Linked DNA regions of Rattus norvegicus. The protein of the gene in region 7 purifies or fractionates together with the protein of the main gene of each other region. This does not show direct contact. Links are inferred from orthologs where the notes say so. Each region holds a gene or a part of one and is shown on either strand. Other genes may lie near its edges.

Evidence for each region.
Region 1: the proteins of Ddx6 (region 7) and Patl1 purify together in Homo sapiens (affinity purification with mass spectrometry; 6 studies listed by BioGRID and IntAct, with this or other methods). This does not show direct contact. The link is inferred for Rattus norvegicus from reciprocal best matches to the Homo sapiens genes DDX6 and PATL1.
Region 2: the proteins of Ddx6 (region 7) and G3bp2 purify together in Homo sapiens (affinity purification with mass spectrometry; 3 studies listed by BioGRID and IntAct, with this or other methods). This does not show direct contact. The link is inferred for Rattus norvegicus from reciprocal best matches to the Homo sapiens genes DDX6 and G3BP2.
Region 3: the proteins of Ddx6 (region 7) and Dcp1a purify together in Homo sapiens (affinity purification with mass spectrometry; 8 studies listed by BioGRID and IntAct, counting the BioPlex papers as one, with this or other methods). This does not show direct contact. The link is inferred for Rattus norvegicus from reciprocal best matches to the Homo sapiens genes DDX6 and DCP1A.
Region 4: the proteins of Ddx6 (region 7) and Atxn2l purify together in Homo sapiens (affinity purification with mass spectrometry; 6 studies listed by BioGRID and IntAct, with this or other methods). This does not show direct contact. The link is inferred for Rattus norvegicus from reciprocal best matches to the Homo sapiens genes DDX6 and ATXN2L.
Region 5: the proteins of Ddx6 (region 7) and Ago2 purify together in Homo sapiens (affinity purification with western blotting; 5 studies listed by BioGRID and IntAct, with this or other methods). This does not show direct contact. The link is inferred for Rattus norvegicus from reciprocal best matches to the Homo sapiens genes DDX6 and AGO2.
Region 6: the proteins of Ddx6 (region 7) and Pabpc4 purify together in Homo sapiens (affinity purification with mass spectrometry; 3 studies listed by BioGRID and IntAct, with this or other methods). This does not show direct contact. The link is inferred for Rattus norvegicus from reciprocal best matches to the Homo sapiens genes DDX6 and PABPC4.

Annotation. Positions count from the first base shown.
Region 1 is NC_086019.1:218,265,490-218,269,472, forward strand, and holds part of Patl1 (protein PAT1 homolog 1), read left to right. Parts: intron 1-286; coding exon 287-481; intron 482-843; exon of another isoform or gene 844-917; intron 918-1,379; coding exon 1,380-1,481; intron 1,482-2,128; coding exon 2,129-2,218; intron 2,219-2,548; coding exon 2,549-2,766; intron 2,767-3,846; coding exon 3,847-3,936; intron 3,937-3,983. UniProt on the Homo sapiens protein: RNA-binding protein involved in deadenylation-dependent decapping of mRNAs, leading to the degradation of mRNAs. Acts as a scaffold protein that connects deadenylation and decapping machinery.
Region 2 is NC_086032.1:16,299,082-16,303,064, forward strand, and holds part of G3bp2 (ras GTPase-activating protein-binding protein 2), read left to right. Parts: coding exon 1-51; intron 52-1,541; coding exon 1,542-1,670; intron 1,671-1,747; exon of another isoform or gene 1,748-1,874; intron 1,875-2,447; coding exon 2,448-2,566; intron 2,567-2,876; coding exon 2,877-3,149; 3' UTR 3,150-3,983.
Region 3 is NC_086034.1:5,661,629-5,666,407, forward strand, and holds the start of Dcp1a (mRNA-decapping enzyme 1A), read left to right. Parts: upstream 1-1,808; 5' UTR 1,809-1,833; coding exon 1,834-1,968; intron 1,969-4,040; coding exon 4,041-4,081; intron 4,082-4,779. UniProt on the Homo sapiens protein: Necessary for the degradation of mRNAs, both in normal mRNA turnover and in nonsense-mediated mRNA decay. Removes the 7-methyl guanine cap structure from mRNA molecules, yielding a 5'-phosphorylated mRNA fragment and 7m-GDP.
Region 4 is NC_086019.1:190,510,493-190,514,475, forward strand, and holds part of Atxn2l (ataxin-2-like protein), read right to left. Parts: intron 3,911-3,983; coding exon 3,800-3,910; intron 3,128-3,799; coding exon of another isoform or gene 3,110-3,127; coding exon 2,918-3,109; intron 2,842-2,917; coding exon 2,770-2,841; intron 2,544-2,769; coding exon 2,473-2,543; intron 2,309-2,472; coding exon 2,013-2,308; intron 1,916-2,012; coding exon 1,846-1,915; intron 1,389-1,845; coding exon 1,242-1,388; intron 1,143-1,241; coding exon 1,070-1,142; intron 977-1,069; coding exon 786-976; intron 542-785; coding exon 412-541; intron 320-411; coding exon 198-319; intron 24-197; coding exon of another isoform or gene 18-23; coding exon 1-17. UniProt on the Homo sapiens protein: Involved in the regulation of stress granule and P-body formation.
Region 5 is NC_086025.1:106,927,696-106,931,678, forward strand, and holds part of Ago2 (protein argonaute-2), read right to left. Parts: intron 3,341-3,983; coding exon 3,181-3,340; intron 1-3,180.
Region 6 is NC_086023.1:140,851,561-140,855,543, forward strand, and holds part of Pabpc4 (polyadenylate-binding protein 4), read left to right. Parts: intron 1-969; coding exon 970-1,163; intron 1,164-3,111; coding exon 3,112-3,227; exon of another isoform or gene 3,228-3,366; intron 3,367-3,983.
Region 7 is NC_086026.1:53,835,147-53,839,129, forward strand, and holds part of Ddx6 (probable ATP-dependent RNA helicase DDX6), read left to right. Parts: intron 1-1,023; coding exon 1,024-1,087; intron 1,088-2,292; coding exon 2,293-2,397; intron 2,398-3,983.

The DNA.
Region 1 (3,983 bases), on a different chromosome or scaffold from region 7:
TAGTTAAAAATCTAGCCAAAACTGCATATCAAGGACTGATTGTTTGACAGTGGTGGGGCACAGGGCCAAATGCTGATTATAAAAGGATAATGCAAAGGAACTTTATGGGAGTGATAAATTTGGTGTTATGTATTTGGTCAGAGAATTATATACCAAAGAATGACTTTTACTGAGTATGAATTAAAGTTAAAATAATTTCTCAAGGTATCCTTGGCATCTGTGGAGATTATTAAAATATCACAAGTTAGCTAATATCTCTATCATTTTTAACAATTTCCTCAATTAGGAAATGCCTACAGTGTCTGTATTAGAATATGCCTTGCCTCAGAGGCCCCCACAGGGCCCAGAAGATGACCGGGACCTTTCTGAGCGAGCTTTACCAAGGCGGTCAACATCACCTATCATTGGAAGTCCTCCTGTTAGAGCTGTTCCTATAGGCACCCCACCTAAGCAGATGGCGGTTCCCAGCTTCAACCAACAGGTACCTTTCATTAATGTACACAGCCCAGAATATTGGGAATCTGGGCAAAATTATTTGGGGTTCTGGGAGGAGGGTGGACGTTGTGGGTAGGCATTAAAAGAATAGCCAATTAGAGAAGATAGTATAAATGAGACACATTCCCTAATTCCATTTGCTGCTGCTGCTCCTGCTGCTGCTGCTTCTACCTTCTAACTGGGGGAGAAAAGAGTAGTTAAGCACATTAGTACATATGTCCTTTTTTTAAAGTGTTTTGCTGGCTGCCGGGTACATTAGCAGAAAGAATACTGAAAGCTGGGGGGAGTGGGAACACTCAGCATTGTCCACATCCCTTTTTACCTTTAAGATATCCCTGCTTTCCCTAGAGCCTGTGCAGTCCTGTTCCATAGACTTTCCTCCACCTGAAACCAGCAGCTGAAAAGGAAGGCCAATTTGGAAGGTATGGGGGGAGGGTGGTGTTGGTATGGCCTAGTTAGGCTCAATATCCTAAGAAATGGTGGAGTCACAACATTGCTGAGCATGGCGGCCATATCACCGAGGCTTCAGAATAGGACTTAGTTAATCCTCCAGCTTTCTTATCATTCCTTCTCCCTTAATACAACCAAAACAGATCCTCTTGGAGAAAATTTTCAAGTCAGAATGTCTGCTGGTACTTCCCTCAGATAGCATGGAAGGGTGGGGATACTGGAGAATTAGCTAAATCATCTTCAGTTAAGATAAAGTGATTTATGAGAGGAAGTGACCAAAGGTTCTCTTTTTGAACTCATAGCCAGAGCAATTTGCTTAGAATCAGGGTTTTGCATTGAGTTCTGTGTCTCTACCAGTACTCGAGGGGAGGGAGTGTAGGAAGGCAAAAGACTGATTTCATTGAATGTAGTTGTGTATCTGTTTGTCCTAATAGATTCTGTGTCCGAAGCCTGTTCATGTCCGGCCCCCAATGCCACCACGTTATCCTGCTCCCTATGGTGAGAGGATGTCTCCAAACCAGCTCTGCAGTGTCCCGGTATGTCTCTTTACAACATAGCAGGATTGTTTAATGTGAACTTCATGTTCACCATTAGTATTTAGTAGAGCCGACATTTATTTCCTAGATTGTATGTATTCCTTGTAATCTCCATTTTATTTTCTAGAATTTTCAGTCCCAAGGTTAAAGGACAGAAGTTTACTCTGTTTCTTGACACCTTTAAGATTCTAAGCTCAGCTAGGCATTGCTATGTAATCCTAGCACTCATTAGACTGAGGTAAAAGCAATCTTAATTCCAAGCTAGCCTGGTCTATATAGTGAATGAATTAATTCCAGGCCAGCCTGGTCTACATAGTGAATGAATTAATTCCAGGCTAGCCTGGTCTACATAGTGAATGAATTTCAAACTGAGCTACTTAGCAAGTCTCGTCTCAACAAAAAGAAGCAGCACAGAAAGATTCTAATTTCCTTTTTAACCTCTGGTTTCTGCTGCCTGAGCCTTGGCTGTCTTTTTCCTGTTACATGGACATAGTGTTTTGTAATTTCTAGCATTCTTTTCTGATATTAGGCTCACGGGTTTGGGAGTTTTTAATATCTAACTTTATACCAAATTTATACTGAGTTTGCTTGACATATTGATGTTTGTTCCATAATATGAACATAAAATCCCTTTTTTGTGTCCTCAGAACTCCTCCCTCCTGGGCCACCCTTTTCCTCCTAGTGTTCCTCCTGTACTCAGTCCTCTGCAGAGAGCACAGCTTCTGGGAGGAGCACAAGTAAGCCTACAGTTTACTGAACCCATAAAGATAATCCTGTTGTCCTAAGATTAATTGCTCGACACCTTCTTCTTTCGCTGTTAGCCACTTTTCCCGCCCCCGTTTTGTTTTCTCAAGTGAAGTTATTAATGAAAACTGTTTACTTTTGGTGGTGCATGCCTATATTCCCAACACTTAGAAGGCTGAGTTAGAATTACGCATTTAAGGCCATCCTGGGCTATATGGGCATTCCCAAGCAGTCTGAAATACCTAATGAGTCCCGGTCACAAAGGTGGGTGGGGCCAGTGACGATTGCTAAGTCTACATCAAAGATCCCGTCCCTCTTTGCAGCTACAGCCTGGACGAATGTCTCCCAGCCAGTTCGCACGGGTCCCTGGATTTGTTGGTAGCCCATTGGCTGCCATGAATCCTAAGTTGCTACAAGGGCGTGTTGGGCAGATGCTTCCTCCAGCACCAGGCTTCCGTGCCTTCTTCAGTGCTCCACCCCCTGCCACGCCACCTCCACAGCAACACCCTCCTGGCCCAGGACCTCACCTCCAGAACCTAAGGTAGGGAGGGAGAGCATGCCTCTGCCTCTGACGAGCCACTGTCAGCTGTCCTTTAAAGTCCTGATACTTGCTCATACGGTGTTCGAGGAGTCGAGGATTCTTAGTTGTCAGAGAACTGCTTGAGCCTTCAGGCTGTACGCTGCTCTCAGGAGTGTCATGCTTCTTTGCACATGATAAATTGACTGCTGCTTTTACTTTTTCTGAAATTTCACTCCATACCATTTTATAAAGACTCGTGTAGTAAAATTATTACACAGTGCTGATGACTAAGGAATTGCCACAAACCTCAGGTGCAGACAGAAGCCAAGAAGCCAGCTGACCTCAGTGCCAGCTGAGTTGCTTGCTTCTGTGTTATGGTTTGATAAGGAAACAGACTTGGTTTCTGCTTTGGTAAAATTGTGTCTTATATAAGTCACAGCAGTTTATGTTCTTAAGAGAAAAATCAGTAAAGTATACATAAATGTGGGGAAAGTTAATTTTAGTCCAAGGAACTGACTGGCAAATTGGAAACCCATGTAGCAGACTAGAAACTAAGAGTCACATTGCAGTCTGTCTTTGAAGTATGTCAACCAGCAGGCTAGATACTCAGCAGAGCTTAATTTCCTGATAGAGGTTACTTCTGAGCGACTTCTGGTTTGGGCTATTAGACGTCCCTGATTATGGAAGGCAGTTTTTTAAAGTCAATGGATTATAAGTGTAAATGTCTATAAAATGCTTTCATAGCAGTTTCTATACAAGGATTTGGTTAAACTTTGGTCAGGTTGACATGTAAAATTAACTGCCACCATACACTTTCTGTCCCATTCACACACAAAAATTAAATACATTAAAGTATTAGGGATAAAAATTTGTATTGTTTTACTACTAGTGCACTGAGTTTCATAGTTACCCTCTTGGGTTTGAGAATTGGTCATTGTGGAAGAAATATAAAAATATGGCTTTCCCTTCTAAAAGTCTATTTATAATACACTGGCTATCCCTTGAGTGAACCTATGTGAAGTTATCCTGTATTGACAGCCTTTTTTAAAATAAAGTCAATTAAGATGAGATATCAAGGACCATTTTCCTTTTTTTTCTTAGACCTCAGGCCCCAATGTTTAGACCAGACACAACTCACCTTCATCCACAGCACCGGCGCCTGCTGCACCAGAGGCAGCTGCAAAGTAGAAAGTGAGTATTCATAGTTTTGTTTATGTGGCCCTAGGATACATAAAGCC
Region 2 (3,983 bases), on a different chromosome or scaffold from region 7:
AACAGCGACCTCGAGAGCGACCTGGTTTTCCTCCTCGAGGACCAAGGCCAGGTAAGCTCAGCTTACTTGTGGGCTTTATTGGACAGTTGGGAAAGACTAAGCTTTAAAGGAAACTGTACTGGGTTTCATACACAGATCTGTGTGGAGATCAGACTACTTAGGGTTATGCTGCTAAGATAATCTAGGCTAACAAACAGCTGAGGAGAGGGTTTGCTGAGCTCTGTGGAAGTGTGGTTTGATAAAATGTGCCCTTTTACCATTTGCTGACTGTTGGTGCATTTAAGAATGGTAAGCTGAGCTCTTAGTACCCACCCAGCTCACTGTACACTCTTGTCTCACACTGATACCTCCTGAGCTGCACCAGCTTCTCATAAGTGCGTTGCTAGCTAAGGTGCAGTGAGGACCATTGTTGAACGCTGTAGGATTTAAGAGAGCTTTTCGGGGTTCGGGACCGGTGCAGCAGTTGCTCTTCCAGAGGGCTTAGGTCCCTAGCACCCACATGGTGGTCGGAGTTGTCTGTAGCTCCAGTCCTGGAGGTGTAGTGCCCTCTTCTGCCCTGCCAGCAGTAGGTATGTGGGTGGCGCACAGACACATGCAGAACGCCATACATGTTTAAATTGGACAAATAAACCTTTTAAAAAGAGAGAATGCTTTGGATGCAAGAGGGATATATATATATATATACTACTATGCCTCCAATTTAGAACTGTAATTCTGTAAATAAAAGTAGTGCATTCCAAGGTTCCAGGCAGTGGGTGGCATGTCTCAGCTTTGGTATTGACTGCCATGATCTAGGATGGCATCCTTAAGTCTGAGCTGCTCCTTCTTAAGCCATGTCGGTGTCAATGACGCTATCTGGTGTGGTGTCTGTCTTCTGTGACTTGCTATGGTATGAGAGGATTAAGTAAGACTGTTACCTTCCATAGTACTTTGGGAGGAAAGAGGCCTAAGAAAGGAAATGCTGGTACAGTTAGTATTGATGAAATGTGTTTTATTTTAAAACACTAAGGAGGTATTTAGGAGGAGTATTCCTTACTAACTGAAAGTCTGTTGTGGCCCTGGTTACAGGGTAATAACTGTCCTTTGAGTACTAGTCATTCACAGTCTTTTCTTTTTTTCGGAGCTGGGGACCGAACCCAGGGCCTTCCGCTTGCTAGGCAAGCGCTCTACCACTGAGCTAAATCCCCAACCCCATGTCATTCACAGTCTTATCCATAGTCTGCAAGTCTAGTCAGGATCTGTCCAGCTGTGCTCTCTGTCCACCTAATACACCTTCAGGGAGCACCTCTGCTTTACTAAGTCGGCGCAGGAGTTTTAGTATTGGTTTTTTTCTTTCTCATTTGTTTTTGTTTATTTAAGACAAGGTCTCATTGTATAGGCCTGGCTGGTCTGGAACTAGAGAGATCCTCTTGGCTGGTGTTGGGCCTTAGGGCATGTACCACTGTGCCTGGCACCAATAGGAGTTTCCTTTCTAGTTCATTTCTTTGTACTGTTTTTATGTGCTGTTGTAGGCTCTAGTGTTTCCTTTCTTCCTGTTTTAGGCAGAGGAGACACAGAACAGAATGACTCTGACAACCGGAGAATAATTCGTTATCCGGACAGTCACCAGCTTTTTGTTGGAAACTTGCCTCATGATATTGATGAAAATGAACTGAAAGAATTCTTTATGAGTAAGTGGTTTAGTTTGCATTCATGTTCTACTTTAAGTTGAAGTTTGATGGTTATGCCCTACATTAGAGAAACGTAGCTGCTCACCAGGGCTCAGTCCTCCTCCTCTTGTGGTCCTGACCTGCCCTCTGTGAGCAAGAGAATCTGGACTGGTTGGGGGTGTCCTGTCCAAGTGGACACAGGACTCCACGGTTTTCAGTACAACAACCCTACCATCTGACATAACTTGTAACATGAAGGTTTCCCTTTAAACAAAATGTTAGTGAATTTAAATAAAGCCCTAAAGGAAGAAAGAGCCTTTTTGTCATAATAAAACCCAGCTTTCTAAATTACTTACCTTCAGATTATATCTTACCTGCTTTCAGTCTCACTTTAATTGGTCAGAAGGGAAGAAATGATAATGATATCACAATTCCCAGTGTTTGGTCAGGTTCAGGAGCTGAGGAAAGAGAACTAACTGGCTGGAAGAAACAGTCTTACATTTCATTCTTGAGGACTCCACTGGTAAAACGGGGTGGGGAAAATGTTTGTCTTTCCAAAATTTGGCAGGCAGGGTTTTTGTTTTTCTCGTGGAGACAAGCATCTGCTAAGGTTGTGAGGGGTATGAGGTGGTGGCCCTCCCGAGCACATGTCCTGTAGCAACCATCGTGCATAGCAGCTTTGCCCTGTTTGTTTTCAGATGGATCAGAAACGTGACAGTTGCTCGTTCTGAACAGTTAAAGTCACTAGGATGTTTTGTTAAAATATTTAACCCTTGGTTGTAATGTATATTTTCACAGGTTTTGGAAACGTTGTGGAACTTCGCATCAATACCAAGGGTGTTGGGGGAAAGCTTCCAAATTTTGGTTTTGTGGTTTTTGATGACTCTGAACCAGTTCAGAGAATCTTAATTGCAAAAGTAAGTGATTTAAGGGGCATAAATAAAATTTTCTCTTTTTTGTTGTTTATAGGATGAATTGAAACATTTAAAACCATAGAAAATCCTTTTTATGGTAAAGCTAAAAATAGTTAATTGTGAAATGGTATTTATGCAAAGAATAAGAAGATAGTATTACAGTCTGCTGTATGGATCATTCTTTTGCTCAGTTGAAAAGGACTAAAGTTTATATTAAGACTTGTTAAAGTTTCTTATTTAAAAGATTTTTCTTATGTATGCAAATTCATATCTATTGTTGTGTAACCATTCATGTCATTTTTCTGTTTTAAAGCCAATTATGTTTCGAGGAGAAGTACGTTTAAACGTGGAAGAGAAAAAGACAAGAGCTGCCAGAGAACGAGAGACCCGAGGTGGTGGTGATGACCGCAGGGATATCAGGCGCAATGATCGGGGTCCTGGTGGTCCACGTGGAATTGTGGGTGGTGGAATGATGCGTGATCGTGACGGAAGAGGGCCCCCTCCACGAGGCGGCATGACACAGAAACTTGGTTCTGGAAGAGGAACCGGGCAAATGGAAGGCCGCTTCACAGGACAGCGTCGTTGAAATCCCCCTGTTGGCCAAGTTTTGGCAGTGGCACCTAACTCATCGTGTTTGCGTTCTTGTTAGGTTTGGCTTTGGAATGTGACACAGCCTTTTTGATCATTTCTTTGATGTGAAAAGCATCTTTTGGTTATCAGTTAAATTGAGGTGGACATTATTTCCCCAATTTCACAACAGGATTCATATTGTTAATTTATAAAGCTAGACTTGGAGAATTAAGGACTGAGAGATGACCATATCTTAAACTGTCTGCAACAAAATGAACTTTAAAAAAAGGACATGCCCACTGAGTTCAGGTCATTTGAGTTTAAAAAAAATCCTCTGCTGCACATTTTGTTTAAGTGTTAACTGTTTCTGCTATTAATGTTGGAAACACAAATAGTGCAATTTGTGCAATTGGAGAATCTTGCCTTTTTTCTTGGCTCCTCCAACCCCCAACACAAACAGAAACTTGTTACGTATTCATCAGAATGCACTGTCGGGTACTCTGAAGTCATTAACATTGAAATCTGCACCAGGAGGCAACAGGGAAATAAAAAGTTGATCTTCTTTTCCAGTAGAGAATAGTTTGTGAAATGATGAGGGCATTCTATCTGCTTGCTGTGACCAGCGTGTGCACACAAACCTTAACAAGACTGCAAATATTCCAGAAGGAAGTCCTTTAGCTATGAACGAAATAACAAAAACGAGAACTTCAAAAGCTGTGGTCTTAAATACTAGACCAGGTTTAGTAGCTCCGTTTTGTCAGTTTTCTACCTGCCCTCTTGAGTACAGGGATGGATGGCTGCTCAACACACTCCTCCCCTTTCCTTTCTTTAAACTGTGTACAGTAGAAAC
Region 3 (4,779 bases), on a different chromosome or scaffold from region 7:
CATGAAGCAAACCTCAGCCCTTAACTTTACTTTCCCAAGGAGCACCTCCTCATCGAAAGCAGCAGTTCAAACCTCAGCACCTTCTTGAAGCCTTCCTACTGCCTTCAGAAGTTGGCTCAAGGCACCCCAAGACCATGTTCTCAGCACAGAGATTTATGTGCTCCAGGGGGAGAGAGAGCAGGGATAATGAACAAAGGCAGGAGATAGGAAGGCAAGGGGCTAAAAATTAAAGGGGTTGGGAGGAGAGGGGTAAGAGATGTTTGGGAAGGAGACAAAGGACTCTCTAGATATAGAGGAAATAGATGTGGTCCACGGGCAAATGGCAGTTTATAAAGATAAAAGGGGAAGCCCACGTTAGGATGATGTGTTTAATTTTAATTGGGCATGTTAATTAGCCAAAGGGGGCTTTTGATTGCTAGACTCCAATACTTTGATAGCCAGACCTTGGTAGTCAGCCTCAGGAGAAATTAATCTCTTATTAGGCTAAATTAAGGAACAGACCTTGGTGGCTAGTGTGAGGAATGCAATCTAACAGTCTTTAGCAAGGCAGAGGAAACTGGGGAGAAGGGCAAGGCCTGCCAGAGCCACGCCCACCATGCCGGAACTGGTTAAGAGTTCCTTCACTACCTTTCCTGGCTCAGACGGAAATAGACTCCACCCTCTGGAATTCAAAGAGAAATGTCTATCATGGGGTTATTTGCTTGCTTTTCGTTTCTCCTGGTGCCAAAAAGAGTTGGAAGCTTGGAACTGACAACCACTCTATAAGATCAATGAATGTGTACGTGAGCAAAGGGCGAACAAACCATAAGCTGTTCCGACTTCTTGCCTCACACGTGTTTCCGAACGGAAAGTCTGCCCTTCCATTAGCAAATGATCTTGGGATGTAAAACCACAAGCAACACAAATATATGGTGGTACTTTGATGGAAATGTAAAGTTTATCCTTTCAAAAACGTTCATTTGTGCCGAGATGTCCTCAATAAAGAAAAACGATGGTTTTTAAAGCAGCTCAATGAAAATAGGCTGAGCACGTTGTTTTACTTTGTAGTACCTGACCCCTTAGGATGCCCAATAATGTTGGCTTTTTAAGAGATCTACTTATTATTTAAGTAATAGGTCTTTCTATATTGCTTTTTTTTTCTTTTTTTCGGAGCTGGGGACCGAACCCAGGGCCTTGTGCTCGCTAGGCAAGCGCTCTACCGCTGAGCTAAATCCCCAACCCCGTAATAGGTCTTTCTAGAACAACAGAAATATTTATTTAGGACCCAGATGAAGGAAAAGACAAGCCAAAGAGGGGAAGCCGAGTACAGTGTAGTTCCAGGCAGGCTAGTTTGGCTGCTTTGAAACATTTCTTTCAAAAATTACCAAACAGTTAAGAGTGAAAGTGCAGCTCGGAAGTAAAGTACAGCTCCCTTTCCTCACTTGGTCTGAGTTTTCTCAATGGTCCATGAAAACCTCACTTCCACAGCAGCAAGCATTTCGATTCAGGGTATGTGCTGGGCTGCGGTCTCACTGGCAGGAGTCTGGAGCACTCAAGGAACAAGTTCAGATCCCGCCAGGTGAGAGAGGAGGACTCCGGAATGTCGGCTCGCCGAAGCTCCACCGCGCAGGCGCGGACGCCTGTACCTTCCGGCAGCCGCAGACCTAAAAAGATCGGAACCAGGCTCCCAGGGCATAGGAGCGGCGGATCAGATTAACTGAAGTACCACCCTCGGCAAGGCAGGTCGGATAGGCGGAAGTGGACGGCTGACTGAGCTGGGGGAACTTTGCCTGGATGGCACTTTCCTGTTCTCCAGTCCGCCCCCGCCCGAGGGGCTCGGCCTGGAGATCCAAGATGGAGTTGTTGAGTCGAGCTGAGCAAGAGATGAGTCTGGCGGCCTTGAAACAACACGACCCCTACATCACCAGCATCGCAGACCTCACGGGCCAGGTCGCCTTGTACACTTTCTGCCCCAAAGCCAACCAGTGGGTGAGTGAGGCCCAGCCGTGGAGAACGCCAGCCTGGCCGCTGCCGCCTCTTAAAGGGACCGCGCAGACAGCTTAGGATTGGGGGTGGGGTGTGGAGCAGAGTAGGACCGCAAAGGCGAGGCCCGAACCTCTCCCAAAGGTCCTTCCAGAGCCGAAGAGATGACGGGGGAAAGGGGAGGGACACGCGGAATTGGAGGAATGAAGGGTAGGAGTACACCAGAGACATAACAGGGAAATCAGATGGAGGACAGGAATGAGGCAGGATCAGTCTTTTTGGGGTCGGTTCTGGAGACTTGAGGTTGCATTGGCAGGATATGAGACAAGTTAATTTTTTTTTCTAACAAGTGATTGAAAACCTGTGTTTGAGACTTTGAAAACTATTAGATAAATCACGTGTTCTTGATTGCAAAATCCACTCCTCTTTCCCTGCCGACCTAAATGTGATGATTTGGATTTGAAGCTTAAAAATCAGTCTCAGGAGTTAGTCCAGCTTTAGCAGAACTGGTATCACCGGAGTTTAAAGAAAGATTTCAAGGCTACTTCAGTAAGAATTGGATTCCTTGGAGACGTTTTTACAAGAAAAAAAAAAAAAAAAGAGACCGGTGATAGGACGTTTGATCGCTCACTTCTTAGTTCTTTTTGGATTTTGTGAGTGGCATGGAGTTCCAGAAATTACATTCACTGACTTTAGTTAACCTCAACTTGAAGCACCTATTTACATGATGTCCTATTTCCTCCTGATGCTAGGCAGACACTGTACTGTTCCTCTACCACTGGGCTATATACCCAACCCAAGTTACAGTTTCTTAATCACATTTTCAGGCGTTTATTTTAAAAACCTACCACATTTGTCTAAGGCAGAGAATGGTTTCTATCCACGAGTCTTAACAAAGTTCTGAAAATATTAAATTGTGTTTGGTCACCACAAAATGTGTAACTCGTGAAAATAGTCCTAAATTCTCCAGAAATGAAACAGTATCTTAGAAGAAAACGTCCCGAGGGTTAGGGATTTAGCTCAGTGCTACACAGCTGTGCATCATGAGGCCCAGGCTCTGAGTTCAACCTGGTATCCCTTTTGAAGAAAGTTTCCATTCTTTTTCTATAAACCTCAATAGACTGCTCAAGTTTGGTTTGGTTTGGTTTTTGGTTTTTTTTTCCAAGTTTTTGGTTTTTTAAGTTGCAGTAGACAATACCTTGACTGGAGTATTAAGATACCTAGTTGAAAGGTTTTAGTGTTTGCAGAGAGAAGCTGGGGCAGAGAAATGGCTCAGTAGTAGCTAAGAGCATTTGGTGCTCTTCCCAAGGACCTGCCTCAATTTCCAGCATCCCCATGATGGTTCAGACCCATCTGTAACTCCAGTTCCAAGACGTCCAGTGCCCTCTCTAAGCTCCACGTACACACATACATGTGTTACAAAGAAATACGTATGCTGACAAAAGAGCCCTACATCTTTTCTAATTGAAAAAAAAATTTAATACATAAAATAAGTAAAGCTAAATCGCTTTTTTTTTCCCTTTAAATGTTCCTCACTGGCAAAAATAGACATGTGCTACAGATGTACACATATTGTTGGGTTGGACATACATAAACACAGGGGTGAACAGATACATAATTTGTTTAGATTTCTTTTAAAAAGTGAATTGCTTTACCTGTTCAAACGTGACTAATTTGGAGGCTAAAGAGACAGCTCAGTGGATGAAGTGCTTGCCTCCCCAGCTTGAGAACCTGAAGTATTCACACAGAAAGCTGGACGTAGTAGCTTGCACTTACGTGTCCTCTGGGGACATGGAGGCGCTTATGACACAACACTGGAGCTCACTGACCAGGAAGTGCAGCTAAATTGCCCATCTTCTGGCCAGTGAGACCCCCTGACTCAAAAGAAGGAATGACGCCTGAGAGTGACCGATGGCCTCTCCAGTTGTACACAAATGCCAGCGTGCATTCCCTTGAGCACATACACGATCGATTTCACAGTAAATAAGACAAGTTGGCCTGAACGTGTAGGTGCTTCACCAAGATCATTTGACCTTGGATTATTCCTGGAAAACTGACAGAGTCGTTGTCTGTTACAGGAGAAGACTGATATAGAAGGGACATTATTTGTATACCGAAGGTAAGTGGCTTAAGGATGTTTCTACTTCACTTGAATGGTGGTGATCGCTGTGGTGGAGCGTGGTCCGTTTCTATCGTGTATGTAGCTTTGGAGCCTTCCTGTTTATCTTCTTCCAGTTTTCCCCCACCCAAGCACTACAGTCCTACTACAGCTGCTGCTCTTCTTCCCATGTTAAAAAGAATGCATACGTACGAATGTCTGCGAATATAGTATAGTACAGTAGCTATAAAGTGATTGAGATAGCACTCTTGCCGGTCTGTAGTTTCTGATGAGAATTTGCCTTCTGTGGCTGGTTCTGCCCCTTTCCTGCCTCTTCCCAAAGTTCTAGGTCATTCCTAATTCATATACATTTTACTTTAAACTTCTCTGAAAATTCTTTTTTTTAAAGATTTATTTATTATATAGGAGTACACTGTAACTGTCTTCAGACACACCAGAAGTGGGCATCAGATCCCATTACAGATGGTTGTGAGCCACCATGAGTTCACCCTGGGATTTGAACACAGGGCCTCTGGAAGAGCAGTTAGTGCTCCTAACCACTAAGCCATCTCTCCAGCCCCGAAAATTAATTCTTTAAATGGTTGGTTTGTAAAGGTTGACAACTTTACCTTGTTTGGCAGCATAGGGGCCTCATCCTAGGTGGCCCACAGGATGAGACAAGTCATGAGACCCTTGTATTCCCAGGTACCCATAGCTCT
Region 4 (3,983 bases), on a different chromosome or scaffold from region 7:
TGTGGGGCCTGCCCCGCCTGGTGCTGCCGGAGTAGAAGTGAGGTATGAATGCCACCCATTCTGCTATGCAGGCAAACCATAGGCTCATACTGTTTCTCTGTTGAAGAATGACCCAGTTCTCCTGAAGCCCTCTTCCAGCCACCCAATTCCTGGTTTGACCATTCAGACCTTCCAACCCACTCCCACATTACAGGCACCTGAACGGGACTGGGGGCCGCATGCTGGGATTGTGGTTGGCTCCCAGTAGGAGTGGTGGCCGGCTGAGGCTGGTGGCCATGGAGCTGCGTGGCATGGTGTGGATAGGACTGGTGAACAGTGGCTGCAGCGGGAAAGAAGGGAGACCTAGTACTGAGCACACCAAATGGATAGCGGTTCAAACATCCCAGTGACAAAGTAGGCACCAGAACTCACCATAAAGGGCTTGGGGGGTAGGCTGCTCTGCAGAAGGGTACTGAGGAGTGGAGGATGACACGATGGCCTGGGGATGGCTTCCCGATGTCAACATTCGTGGATTACTTTGAAGCATAGGGGCGAACACCGGCTGGTGAAGAAAGAAAGCAATATGCTAAGTAGACCTGCCTGGAATGTCCTGTCAGCCTCTCTGTGCATAGCAACACAAGTCTCAATAGTTATCTTAAAGACAGTAACCACCTTAATTCAAAAGGAAAAACTGGGAGCGGAAGTTCAATGTCTTGTTACAGGAACTACATCTTAACCAAGTCAGACACTGCCAATCCCACAGCTAGCCACCACTATTCAGTGGATTTCAGAGGTGTGTTCTGTACCTGTGAAGGGTAGTGTGCCATGGGCTGCATCATGGCAGGCTGGCCTGGGAACTGCTGTGGGTTGTAAGGGATGTAGGAGGAATAAGGTGTGGCAGCCACCAAGGGTGGGCCAGCAGCAGCAGCAGCAGCCTGCATCATTGGAGGGGCTGAGGCTGGTTGGTGTTGGTCAGAGCGCTGGGGGGGAAGTGAGCCTGTGGGTGGAGGGTAGACAGTGCAAAGCTCAGGTGTCTTCGCTTGCCAAGAGGCACTAGGCAGCCCCAGCTGCCCTTCCCAACCCTGCTCACCTTTTGCACCCCGGTACTTGCCCTGCTGCCCAGGCACCGAATTGGATACAGGATATGGATACATCTGAGGTGCCTAAGGAGAAGAACTAGGGCTCAGCAGGTGCTCATCAACACTGGAACAGTCTGACCTGGACAGTGGGCACTTTCCCTGGGCTCACTCAGTCTCTCCTACCTGCACAGCTGGTCCCATGTGGATCTGAGGTATATATGAGATGTACTGGGGACTGTAGAGCCCACTCTGGCCTGCTGTCAGCACCGGTATGGAAGGTGTTGAATGAGTACGGGGCCCTGGTGAAGTTGGAGTACTGGTAGATTTGTTCTGTAAGGGACAAGGGGAGACATTATATTTCTGCAATCCCACTTCAGCCTTTTCAAATCCATGGACTAATGTGTGCCAAATATATCCTACACTTTTTCCTAAGAGCTTTACAGCAAATCACAAGATGGGCATTCACAGGGCTCTAAGTGGTTGTCTGAAATCTAGAAGCCCCACGAGTACACGTTAAAGCCACGTCAGTAGATTCCTTCAAGCTCATAGTCCTAACCCTCCTCATACACTCGACATGCCAAATAGTAAGAACCAAAGTAATCAATAAACAGCTTTCATCACTCAACCCTGGAGATAATCATTGCTTTTCCAAAGCAGTCCAACTGCTCCTTTCCAGACTGAAGTGCCATCTCACACTATGGGACAGCATGCTATCCTGACAGTCAAGTGCTCTCCTCTACTGTCCCCTCAAAAAGACCCAAGTCTGCATGCAATAGCCCCAGCTCACCACAGACAGCAGAGGCTTTGTTGGATTGAACTCCTTGGCATTGGGGTTCAAAGTAGACTTCTTTACTTGTCTGTAAGAGAAAGTAAAGCGAGCTCTTAAGTCATGTCCTGCAACAGCTGAGAAGCACCAAAGATCCCTCCCTCACACCATCCATCACCACCACCTACTCAGTAACCGGGCCCTCCTCTTTGTCATCTCCCTTGATGAGGCCCACTGGAGGACTGCCAGTTTGGCTGGGGCAAGGTGGTTGGAGCTGTTCTGGCCCCTCAGACCCCGCTACTGCTGCCAGGGGCACTTTGTCTTCCTTATCCAATATGGATTCTGCCTTGGAGGAGACTGGGGATCCCATAGGATCTGAAGTCAATAGACCATCCACTTCTTTCTCCTTTCCTTTGGCCTCTTCTTTCAAGATCCGGGAAGGAAATGGATCCAGGCCCGTCTCAGAGGAGCTACTAGGTTGAAGCTGGGAGGAGAAATAGTTCACATATCATACTGTCCACTCCAGACCCCAGTCTTTACCTCCTACATTCACTCTTGCTCAATCTCATCTTTCCCATCTGCTTGGCCTTTGTCCTTACATACCCCACAGCCTGCATAAATCCTAGCTCCTTTTCATGCTTCACTTACCTTAAACTGGGCCCCAAATTTCCTCAGTTCTTCCAACTGAAAGCGTTTTTGTTCATTCTGAAGGCCAGGGACTGAGGAAACAGTGAAATGAGAAAAGACACATTTTCCCCCCCTGAAAGATCACACAGGGCTAGTTAGTAGTACAGAACAAGAAACCAAAGAGTGAGCTCTTGAGAATATTGAAAGATAAATGATATCCAAGGACAGATAGATGGGCACTGCTTTCAAATCCTAATGGACTTCTTAAGGGAAACACTCCTGCAACTAAATGGGATTACAGAGTAAAATTGCCCTCACCTTTCCCAGCTATGCGGGCCAGCTCTTGGGCTTCCAAACTCCTACTGGGCTCCTTGGTTGGGAGTTCTTTTACTGAGGAAAGAGAGACAATAAGTTCCTGCTCTTAAGTCACACCCACAGTTCTCAAGCATTTACAACTGGTTCTTACCATCTGTAGGGGCCAGGGAGAGTTTTGGAGATGCTGGGGAAATAGAGCCTGCTCCAGGATCCACAACTGATGATGTCACAGGGATGGAGGCAGAGGATGCTACTGCTGAACCAATGGGAGGCTCAGGACAGGAAGCTGAGACTGGGGCAGGGGCAGCAGACTTGGGAGACCGTGGAGGGTACATCCGGCCCACTGGAAGAAAAGGGAGAGCTATACAATGGTTACTGCTGGCCAGGAAGTAGTGCATATAGGGGGGAAACCCAAAGAAAATTTATAAGCATTTTTTTTTTTTTTGTTCTTTTTTCCGGAGCTGGAGACCGAACCCAGGGCCTTGCGCTTCCTAGGTAAGCACTCTACCACTGAGCTAAATCCCCAGCCCCAGCATTTTTTACACCTAGGGCCACAATTTCCTGTGTTAAGACCAGGGCAGGCAAATGGTTTCATTGGGTATTACAAAAAGACTGGAAATGCTATAGCTTCTCCTGTCCTAAAATGTTGGTTAAAAAAACTAGTCTCAACAGAACACCTGACAACCCATGAACTGACAGGTTAGAACCCAGGAAAAATAAAAAAGTTCTTTCTTAAAAAGATTAAATTAAATCCATCTGAACGCCTTTAATCCCAGCACTTGGGAGGCAGAGGCAGGTGTTATTTCTAAGTTTGAGACTAGCCTGTCTACGGAGTTCCAGGCCAGCCAGGGCTACACAGAGAAACCCTAACTGGAAAAAGACGAGATAGAAACAGAAAATGGAAGATAAAATCCAAGACCGTACCCTCACACACCAAGCATCTACAAATATTATTTCCCAGTATTTCAACGACTTTAGACTCATTTACTACCGCCTACCCACAAGCTAGCCAAGCCTCATTGAAGCTCTCTACCTGCAGATGTTGGAGGAACAGAAGCTTCTCCAGAAGGCCTATTGTTGGGTGAAGATAAGGTCTTGCCACCTCTCAGAGGCCGCTGTGCCTTGGGGGACATGCGGGAAGGACCTGTTTTTTTAATGTGAAGAAAAAGAAACATGTGCTCATTACAAGAACACAATACTTCATCCTGCTAATCAAT
Region 5 (3,983 bases), on a different chromosome or scaffold from region 7:
AACAATGATGTCTGCTATGAACTTGAGAAAGAGGCCAGGAAGGCAGGACTGAGAGCTGAGTATGCAGCTGGCCTGGCTGGGTACTGGGGGTGCCTTTGTTCAAGACCTTCTACCTCCATAGGTTACTCCAGGGTCTCACCTGGCCATGACTTACTCTGTTCAAGTAGCATCTTGAGTAGTATTTTTTTTTAAGATTTATTTATTTACTTTATGTATATAAGGATGCTGTAGCTGTTTCAGACACACCAGAAAAGGGCATCTTAACCCATCATAGGTGGTTGTGAGCCACCATGTGGTTGCTGGGAATTAGACTCGGAACCTCTGGAAGAGCAGCCAGTGCTCTTAACCATGAGACATCTCTCCAGCCTGCATCCTGGTTCTTAACCACAGGGTACATTCCCAACTCCCAGCACCCTGGCCACCTCCTTTCGTGACCATCGGTTCTGGCTGGGCTGAGACCTTCAGCCTGAATGCTCACTGAGTGGTGGTATGTGTGTCGAGGGAAGGGGACATAGAGAAAGTGATAGCCCTCCATGCAGCACCCAGAAGTCCACCAGGCTTGTCCTGACTCCTGCATTGTAGGGGCAGCTTCATCTTTATTTCCATGGTGACTGCTCTTTGAGAAGTGCACACCAAGGCTGGCGGCACACCTCCACACCCATTTGACACCAGAAAACTTTGTGGCTGCCACTGATGGCCAGAGGATAATGGTATCAGCATGGCTATCAGGAAGGGGTTTACCCATCCTGTCTGTCTGCCTTCCTGCAATTTTCTTGCCCTTTCTCCCCTTTGTTTTGACACAGTCTCACATATTTCAGACTGGTCTTGGACTTCGAGTCCTGCTGCCACAACCTCTCAAATACTGACGTCATAAGAGTATGCCTCCGCACTTTGTGCCAAAAGAAACTTGATTATTCAAGAGGTGTCCCGAGACTATCACAAAGAACCAAAAGACAAGGTGACACTGTGTGCAAGGAGAGGAGGCCAGAAGGGCATCTTTCTCCCTAAGTATGTGGAGTCCAGATAATATTCTCTGTGAGACCCTAGGTCATGATTTGTGAGGTGACTTCACATTTGTGTGAAGACTGTGGCACTCAGAGGGGAGTGTGTCTATTGCACATTGCCATCTCCCAATCAAAGTCAGGCACAGTGGAGACCTGTGTGTGTGTGTGTGTGTGTGTGTGTGTGTGTGTGTGTGTGTGTGTGTGTGTGATATGTGGTGTGTGTGTGTGTGATATGTGGTGTGTGTGTGATATGTGGTGTGTGTGTGTGTGTGTGTGTGTGTGTGTGTGTGTGTGTGTGTATGTCTGTGTCTGTGTCTGTGTCTGTGTGTGCGGTGTGTGAGACCAGCAGGATTTCTCCTCAGCACCCACTCAGGGTAAAACTATGTAAGAAAGAATCCTATGTGTTAAGCATGTGGATCCATGCAGTCTTTCCAGGGAGAGGAGCAAGTGTCCCTTTCATCTCCATTGTGGTTGCAACCACCCCTGGGGGGGGGGCCCTGCACCCAGCCTCAGACTTAGGTGCCACTTCTCAGACACAGGTAGTCTGTGGCACTGTGGTCCTGCCAACCACACTCGAGATGCCTGTGCCCCTTGGCCTCACTCTCCCTGCTGAAGGTGAACTGAGTAGTACACCCAAAGATCCTGATCACTGCCCTGCCACCCCGGCCACCAGGTACAGCCATGTAGCAGCTGTATTTCTACATGGGTGGATGTGACAAATGTGTCACAAGCCAGGCACACCTGCGCAAAGCTTCCCATGAGCCCAGCCTGCTGGTAACTCCCAGGTTCTTTCTAACTCAACCCAGCTGCCATGGCAACAAGCTTTCCCTTTCAAGGTCTCCAGTGACTTCCCTATCACTGGGTCCAATCATCAGACCACACAGTGCGGCATATTGGCATTTTGTGATGCAAGACATACTTCCTTGGGTGCCATGACTCAAGTGCCTCCCCTCCTTGCCTTCTCTTCTCTCTATTCCCAGCATCCCTGAGCTTTCACCCTGGGCACAGGGCTCAGATCTCCTTGGCACTCACTCAAGGATGCTCACCCATCTCATGGTTCCTGTGCTTTCCCAGAGCTCAGTGCCCCAGCCCAAGCTACCCCTCCTTCAGGAAGGGCCCTGTGTTTGACACTAACTAGACCAAAAGCCCAGACAACCAGCTGCCTTTCCTCCCCTTTAATCTCTCCAATCTAGTCCACCGTCCTTATCTCCAAAGATTCAGGGCTCCTCAGCGCCAGTCCCCAACATCGGCCTGGCAGAGACTGACACAAGAGGTCTCCCAAGTCTGCTCCACCTAAAGCCACAGCCAGCCCCCCACGGCACAGGCCTGCCCCTCATTCTCAGTTTCTACAGACAGTTTCCTCAACCAAAGCTATCACTGTGAGGGCTGGAGAGATGGCTCAGTGGTAAGAGCACCGACTGCTCTTCCAGAGGTCCTGAGTTCAATTCCCAAAACCACATGGTGGCTCATAACCATCTGTAATGGGATCTGATGCCCTCTTCTGGTGTGTCTGAAGACAGTTACAGTGTACTCACATACATAATAAATCTTTTTTTAAAAAGCTATTACTATGACCACTCTCTTCTGCCTCAACTGCAGGTCCACTGTTCAAGGAGGGGCAAACAGTAACTTGGGCCTTGACCTCTAATACCCAGGGTAGCATATCTGCCTTGGGTGAGGAAGACACAGTTCCGCGTCTCCATCCCTTAGCCTTGTGGAGCATGTTGGCAGCCAGCACTTGGCCTAATAAGTTCCTGGACCAGGCAGAGGACCCATCAATTGTGGCCCCTACAGAGAATTTCTAGCCCAAGTACTATGATCTTAGCAGCAAGCTACCAGCCCTGGGTGAGCAGAGTGGGAAACACTAGAGTCTACACTGCAGTAAAGCTCCAGGGACCAGCTGACCAGACTTCCAAGTCTGTGGAAGCCCATTTCCTGACCTGTCCTGGGCCACTCACTCTCCTTACCCTCCAGTGGAGATTGCTGGCCTTGGCACAAAGAGTGGGGTGGCAATGGCCCCACACCAGCCTTCAACTATTAGGGAGCCCAGTCCTAACAGTCACCCATCCCCGATGCCCCTGGCTCTGAGGGGTCTGGGACTTATGCCCACATGAACTACCTGTGAGTACCTCTCTACTGAGCCAGCTGGTGTATGTGCAGGGTGTGGCCACCTCACCTGCCCTGTGGCAGCAGGATGTTGTTGACTCCTCCCAGTTTGACATTGATCTTTAAGCAGAGATTGGATAGGGTCTGTGGCGTGGTCCTCTGCACGTTCTTCATCTGGACACACTGCGTGGCCATGCCCAGCACCGTGTCTCCCACACGCTTGACTTCCGCTGTGGAGCAGAGGTGCACATGTCACAACATGTCCCAAATAGAAGCAGCTGTCCCCTGCCCCGTGGACTGCACTGGTGCGGGGCTCAGCCATGGCAGCTGCATCAGGCGCCTGCAGTCGGCCTGTGCACGATGCTGGCAGATGGAGGGCAGAGCTCCTGGCTGAATCCTGCTTTAGTGCTGCCAGGCACCTGTGCCTGTCTCCCTCAGGACGGGAATCTGGAAGCACATCTCACACCAGCCATTTGTGATCTGGGGCCCAGGGTGGGGTGAGCAGAAGCCGGCTATAACTGAGGCTTCATCATTCCTCAGCAGAAATGACACCTCATGTTAAGCAAATGCCTGGGTAGCTAAAAATAAAACCACCGGCCTCCTCAAAACCCTTGGCAAACACAGAACATCAAAGTGCCGTGGGGATCCACACTCCTCCATTTCCAGATTCCTTCCCGGAGCAGCTGGTCATTGCTCTAAGGACTGTTCTAGAAACCCGGACCCCAGGGACAATGCTCATTCCATCCAAACACCACTGCACGAGCAAGCCTGCTTTGAACCTGGAGGGGGAAAGCACGGCGGCCGTGGGTCTGCAGTCTGCCTGTGGTTAGACAGGACAGACCCCTACTAGTAACAACCATTAAGAATCCCAGT
Region 6 (3,983 bases), on a different chromosome or scaffold from region 7:
AGGGTTGGCCCTAGTGAATCTGATCAGTTTCAGGGACTTCCTGAAGCTAATTAAGTTTTCATGTTCCTGCTTAATAAGGAGCTTTCTTCAGGTTGGGAAGTTTGTACCACAGTGCCACTGGGATTAAGAACCCCATGCCCAGCTGTCTAATTTGACTGACAGTCACCTCAACCAGGCTGACCTAACTTTGTAATCTTTCTGTACTGTGGGTTTAGACTTGTCACCTCACTCTACCTTAGACCCTGTTTTAATCTCATAGAGGGTGCTTGCTTAGGTCATGACACTGCTTCAGTGAAGTCACTGGTCATATCCTTGTTGCCACCAGCAAAGTGTGGCATTGTGGCATCAGGACTTTTGGTCCTTCCAAGTCTCAGGTGCCTGGTGGGCTTCCTTGGGCAGTCAAGGAACAACCCAACCAGCTAGAAGGAAAGAGTAGCTAAATTCTTAGGATTCTAAAGATTTCCAATTAAACCTGAGCCCTGGGATAAAGGTGTGGCGGTTTATCCTACTTTTAAGTTTTGTTTGGTTTTCAGTATAAAAATAGACAAGGCGTGGTGGCACATGCCTTTAATCCCAGAACTCAGGCAGTAGCAGACAGCTCTCGAGTTCAAGGCCAACCTGGTCTAAATATAGGTTCTAGGACAGTTGGGGCTATAGAGAGACCCTGTCTGGAAAGTAACAGTAAGGATTAAAAAAAAGTGGATGGGGGGCTGGGGATTTAGCTCAGTGGTAGAGTGCTTACCTAGGAAGCGCAAGGCCCTGGGTTCGGTCCCCAGCTCCGGAAAAAAGAACAAAAAAAAAATGGATGGGATCTAGTTTTCGATGCATTAACTAGGAACATGAGCTTAGTCCATGGTGAGAGTCTTGGTTCCCTGAGGCCATCTTGATACTTCAGAGATCTTTCTGGCATGGCAACAAGTCTTCTTAGTTGATTGGCATTCTTAATGAGTGAGTGTTCCTCCTTGACAGCTGAGAGGGCCTTGGACACCATGAACTTTGATGTGATTAAGGGGAAGCCAATCCGGATCATGTGGTCTCAGAGGGACCCCTCTTTGAGGAAGTCTGGTGTGGGAAATGTCTTCATCAAGAACCTGGACAAGTCTATAGACAACAAGGCACTGTATGACACTTTCTCTGCCTTCGGAAACATCCTGTCCTGTAAGGTAAGCGTCCGCCAAGGACTGTTGGCCGAATAGGAGTAACTGCTGCTTCTTGAAAACAAGATAAATGCTATGGCTGGGTGTGGTTTGTGCTCAAGGCTGCTGATGGGAGCTATCTAGGGAGTTCAAGGCCAGCCTGGGGATAGCATCAAAGGGAGGGTACCTTAGAATTCGGGACAATTGGGTGTGATAACTTTCCTATCACTGAGGGTGTTTTGGCTTGGTTTTAGTGTTAGCATTTTGGTGACCTGTGGTTTCGTTAAGGCATTTCACACATGTGCATATGTATCTTGATCATGTCATTCCCCAATTCTTAGCCTACTCCCCATAACCCCATCCTAATTCTCGACTAACCCACTGCTATCTTTGTGTGTGCGACCCAATGCATTTCATTAGGGTTGTTTACAACCCCCTCCCCCATTGCTATGTAAACCTCGGGTCTAGTGAGCTTTACCCACAGCCCTCTCTACTTTTTCGTATCTCACCAAGGTGCCTAGTGTGGTCTTGAACTTATGGCTGCCCCTAGTCTCCCAAGTAGCAGTTAACTCACCCACTAAGCTGGATCCCACTCTGGGAATGGAATTATCACAGAAGAGCATGTGGGGAATCTTAGCCACAGGTTTTTTGTTTTGGGTTTTCGAGACAGGGTTTCTTTGTGTAGCCTTGGTTGTCTAGAACCATCTCTGCAGATGTGGCTAACCTATAATAACTCACAGGCGGCCTGCCTCTGCCTCTCGAGTGCTGGGATTAAAGTATGACACCGGGCCAGGTGACTTAGAGCTCTGTATGGCATATAGCCAAGGATAACTGAACTTCTGGTGTTCGCTAAGATTACAGGTGTGTGCTGCCGCCCCCAGCTTGTATGGTACAGGGTTGAGGCAAGCAGTCTGCCAGATGAACTCCAGCTACTTGTAAGGTGTTTTGTGTACTTTCATGGTACCGACTGTTGAAAGTTTCCATTTGGGATTGGGGTCAGCAGCCCCTTGTTTCTGGGAACCTTACTCAGCCGCTAACCTTCACATGGTGGCTGCTGACACACTCAGGACTTGACTTTTGTGCACTTGGAAAGCACTTTTCTGAGCACCTTGGTTTGTACCTGATCTTTCTGGTTTTTCCCTGTTTTCTATGCTGTGATTGAACCCTTTGCAGTGCTCGAATACTGAGCTAGCCTCCAGTCCTGCCCCCTCTTTCATTAAGTTTTTATCTATGAACAAGTTGTATCTGGGTGTTGCCTGTGGATCCCAGGGAATGAGCCAAAGACTTTTACTCATTGAACCTTCTTTCCCTTAAACCCCCGCCCACCCCCATACACACTTTGAGCAGCATCTTACTGGGCTGGCCTCAGATGGCATGTTGTGTGGGTGAGTGACCAGGAAGATGATCAAGGTTCCCATCCCAAGTGCTGGTATTACTTTCTTTCTTTCTTTTTTCTTTTTTTTTTTTTTTTTAAATAAAGGAGCACTTGAGGGGAAAAAAGGAAATTTCCTGGGCTAGGCAGGAAATTCATTTGGTAAAGTGTTTGCTGCATGGGAAAGGATCTGAGTTACATTCCCTAGAATCCTTGTTAAAAACTGGGCAGGGGGGGTTGGGGATTTAGCTCAGTGGTAGAGCGCTTGCCTAGGAAGCGCAAGGCCCTGGGTTCAGTCCCCAGCTCCGAAAAAAAGAACCAAAAAAAAAAAAAAACTGGGCAGGGGACCATCCACCCATGAATGCATGATACCAGTGTTGCAAAGGCAGAAACAGGATTCCTGGGGCTTGCTTGTCAGTCTGGAGGGAACCTGTATCCAAAAAACCCCCTGAGGCTCACCTTGCTGGCACAGAAACACAATGTGGGCCAGAAATAGACTAATCATGGCAGCCGTTGGAAAGCAGGGTACTTGGTAGTGCTGGGTCCTGTGAGGTCCGTACATCTGGCCAGTGGCCCCCAGGTGACCTGCCTCCTCTTCAACAGGTGGTCTGTGATGAGAACGGCTCTAAGGGTTATGCCTTTGTCCACTTCGAGACCCAAGAGGCTGCCAACAAGGCCATCGAGAAGATGAATGGCATGCTCCTCAATGACCGCAAAGTGTGAGTGTCCCAGTCTGGAGCGACAGCCATCGCATGAGCCAGCCATGGCCCCACCTCGGTATTAACTGGCACACACAAGGCGGCTACTGGTTCTCTCGGCCCAAGTGTGGCCTGCTCCTACCTCTCCACTCCAGGGCTGGTGAGTCTCCCTGCCCGAGCCATGGCAGCCCTTTTGACTTGCCACAGTCGGCTCCCTGCCGAGCCATGGCCTGCCTGCTGCCTCTCCCTTAAGGCATTCATCTGGGTTTTGTGAGCGTCAGCAAGTGGGGCTGGCTAGAAGACAGCTCTGAGCCCACTCTGAGCAGGGGTCTCGGCCAGCGGCAGAGTGGAGAGGCCCTGGGCTGACCAGGAGCTGGATATTAGTTATAACCTCAGCTTTCCTTCAACTCATTCCTACCCGTGGGGCTCTTGCTAGTTTTTGGCACCAAATTGTCCTCTAGTCTTTCCTCTGAGCTGTGACATTTCACTGTCCGTTGTTTAATTGGCATACTGTGAAAAAAAGCTCATCCCTTTTCGGATCATTACTGTGGGGTTGGGGACAGCCATGGGTATTTTTTTTTTTTTTTTTTTTTTTTTTTGCATTTTGTACTATTGCATTTTGGCTATTACAAGCAACAATCATTTCTGTCCTTTGGGGTGTGGAATAGGCAAGGCTTCGTGTATGTCTGTGTCGGGTGTGTGGACATATTTTCCTGTCAAGGTTACCGAATGATAAGCAAAGGTCACCTGATTGCGGCCGTCCCGCTGCTGGACTTA
Region 7 (3,983 bases):
AAGTGAAATGACTAAGATGTTCTTAATGTGTTAGGTATAGTACTGACTACTTTTCAAAATTACCTATTTGCTTTTTGAGACCACACTTAGCATAACCCAGACTGGCTGCCCAAGTGCTGAAATTACCTGATTCATGACATCGTGCCACCTCTTTATAGATTATTGATAAAAATTATTAGACACCCAGTTTGTATGTGAGAGAATAGAGGTTTGGGGGAAGTAATTGGAACAGCATCACAGAAGGAATAGGAGTCAAATCAAGACTTAACCTCTATTTGAAACTTCAGGACTTTGTGTGCATTTGTGTTTGAGGTCAAGGTCTTTCTGTTCAGATTATCCTGGGGCTTCCAGGCTCAGGTGGTCTTTCTACCTCATTCTTCAAGGTAGGTAGGACTGTAGGTTCTCTTGGTTCTAACAAGAATCAGCTAGTTACCATAAGTTACAGGCTTGGATGACTATAGAGCACCAAACTAGAAGGTACTTATTGTTTAAGTTCTGGTTACTAGGTAATCCACTGGAAATTCCCCAGCTTGTCCAGTGACCTGGGTTCAGTTTCTTAGCATTACAAAAAAGGGGGCTAATGTAGTTACTCAGGTCTACCAAACTGTTACCATACAGGAATTTGAAACATTATTGCCAAAGTGTGTCTTCCTAAAGTGCTGTGGATTGAATCTAGCAGTTTTTAAAAGAAAGTCCAGAATCTGAGCCTTTACATGAAATTTAGGGGTTAAATGTTTGCTGCTAACAAACAAACAAACAAAAAACCAACTATGTGGATGAAATAAAACACATTTTGACAAACACTTGGTTACTCCAGCCCTGGTGATAAGTCTTCATCTTCCTTAATGAGTTCCCAAGAACACGTTCCTGAAGTTGATGCCTTTGCTAATTGTGTTAAGTGTTTGAGTGTATTAAACTCATTGTGCTTGTTAGAGGGATGGTTCTATTTGAGGTGTTTCATTTGTATTATTAAGGAGGAAGCTATGAATTGTGATAACTTCATGCTTACAATATTCTCTCTAGACCTGGTGATGACTGGAAAAAGACTTTAAAACTCCCTCCAAAGGATCTAAGAATTAAAACTTCGGTAAGTGGGGTGTTCTATTTCAAATGGAAGTTACAAGTAAAGGAGTTACGTGAAATGACGTGGAATGTGTCGGCTTTGTTTTCTTTTGAGATATTATCCTGTGTAGTCCAGGGCTACTACACAATCTTGGTCTTTCCCGTAGCCTCATTGGTGCTGGGAGTATAGTTAGGTGTGCACTAGCAGGCTAGCACATGGGTAGTTAGGTATGCACTAGCAGGCTAGCACAGGGGTAGTTAGCTGTGCACTAGCACAGGGGTAGTTAGCTGTGCACTAGCAGGCTAGCACAGGGGTAGTTAGCTGTGCACTAGCAGGCTAGCACAGGGGTAGTTAGCTGTGCACTAGCAGGCTAGCACAGGGGTTTTTATGTTTGAGCACCTTTAGTTTTTTCACTACAACTGAAGGTTTACTGTTTAGCTGAGACTGTATGTGTTGAAATAGTTGGAACTGTATAGTTAATAGATACTGGGTTGCCAAAATTTTCCTACCAGTCTTTGATGGGATTAGACAATAGGTATAATGTATATTAAGTTGTGTGTGTCTGTGTGCGTGCACACATACATACCTTGGTTATTGTTTTGTTTTCTTTTTTTCCCAGACAGGGTTTTCCTGTGTAGCCCTGGTGGTCTTGAAACTAACTCTGTAGACCAAGCCAACGTTGAACACACAGAGATCCACCTGCCCCTGCCTCTGCATCTCTGTCTCTGCCCTCAGCCTAACTGCATATCATAACCTAATTTTCTCAGTTTCTTTTTCTCAGCCTGTGTATCAGTGAGATAAACAGGTTAGGTATTATAACTACTGTGTATGAGTGTATAAGAACAGGCGTTCAATGGGGTTGGGGATTTAGCTCAGTGGTAGAGCGCTTGCCTAGGAAGCGCAAGGCCCTGGGTTCGGTCCCCAGCTCCGAAAAAAGAAGCAAAAAAAAAAAAAAAAAAAAACTAATCAAATGTTATTTATGTAGAAAGAAATATTGTACTTTGCACTTTGGTCATACCTGGTTTTGCCCAAAGATCCATTTTTAAAGTGTGTTTATTTGTTGAAGGTAGTGTAGTTAGTTGTTCTTCAGGGAAAGCTGACATAGAGATTAAAGCAGTAGTAATAGGTGTCTTTATATTGAAGTGGAGAAAGGGTTCAGTCTGTCGGGCATACGTTTAAGCATGCTTACTGTGAAAGAACCTCAAATGTATTTTATTTGTTTGATTTAGGATGTGACCTCCACAAAAGGAAATGAGTTTGAAGATTACTGTTTGAAACGAGAGTTGCTAATGGGAATTTTTGAAATGGGCTGGGAAAAACCATCTCCTATTCAGGTATGTTTGTCCTTTTTGTTACATGAAGGTTATATAACATGCATTATACACTTCAGCAAATGTTTTCAAAAATACTTAGAGCTGGATGTGGTAGCATACACTTTTAATCCCAGTACTTGGGGCAGAGGCAGGCAAAGGCCAGCCTGGTGTACAGAGTAAGTTCCAGGACAGCTAGAACCACAGAGATCTTGTCTTGAAAAACAATAAAACAAAATAAATAAACAAATAATGTTCTCATGTATGGAGTGTTTTATCTGCATGTATGTCTGGTACCAAGCAAGAAGAGGACCTCAGAGCCTCTGGAACTGGAGTTAAAGATGGTTGTGAACCATAGTGTTACATGTCTTTTGTCTTTGTGTGTGCAAGGACAGTATTTTTCTGAAGAGAGTGTGTGTGTGTGTGTGTGTGTGTGTGTGTGTGAGAGAGAGAGAGAAAGAGAGAGAGCGAGAGAGCGAGCGAGTGCGAGCGCTAGTCCATCTAGCCTTGGATTTGAAGTATAGCTGGAAGTGATCTTTGAGCTCTTGTTTCTTGCCTCACAAATCTAGGATTATAGGCAAACACCACAACTCCCAGCTTTTTTCTTGAGCTTTTAAGGGTTAAATCACAGAATCCATTTCTTATGAGTCTCTTGGTGTTTATTTCCCAAGAATAAGGGTTGTGTGTCGTGTCATTGGTTGATGGTTTCAGTATTTTTTCTATTTATTTAAAATTTTATATTTTTATGTGTTTGAGTGTTTTGCCTGCATGTATGTTCATGTAGCACATGTGTGCAGTGCCTGAGGAGGCCAGACAAGGGTTTTGGATCCCTTGGAACTGGAATTTTAAGTGGTCTTGTACTGCCATGTGGATTTTGGGAATCAAATCTGAGCTCTCTAGAAGAGCAGCTAGTGTTTTTGACTGCTGAACCATCTGTTTAGCCCCTGGATTTTATTTTTAACATTTTGTGAATGTGCAGAGGTCAGACGCTTACAGGAGTCAGTTCTCTTTCTACTCTGTAGATTCTGGGGATCAGACACAGGTGGTTGTACTTTTTTCTATCAAGCTATCTTACTGGCTCTGTTGCTTTTTGAGACAGGGTCTTATGTATCCCAACTGGCCTCAAACTCTGTATCTAAAAGTGACCTTAAACTTGTAACCCTTCCATAGAAGAGCACTGGGATTGCAGTGCAGGCTTGTGAAGTCTTGTCTGGTTTATATAGTGTTGGAGATGGAAGTCAGTGTGTTCTGCCTGCTGGGAGAGCACTCTGGCAATTGAGCTGCATCCCTAGACTCTTCCACTTATTTTTTTAAATATATATTTCTCATGAGTCCCTGTGATTTATCTCAAGTCATGTTTTCTCAACAAAAATACTGCAAAGCAGATTTCTCTAGGTGCTGAATCTGAAGGTACATTTAGTCTGATTAGCAATATCATTAATTTGGATTTTCTTGTTGAAATTGAAGTTTTGTCTTGATGTTTTTCCCTCGATAATGTAATGATGTATGATGTACTACTTTTTGCCCCTCCATTAAAACTAATAAACATTCTAGAGAATGTTTAAAAACCAAGCAAATAGCCTTCTCTTCATCAAGCTTTCCTGGTTATT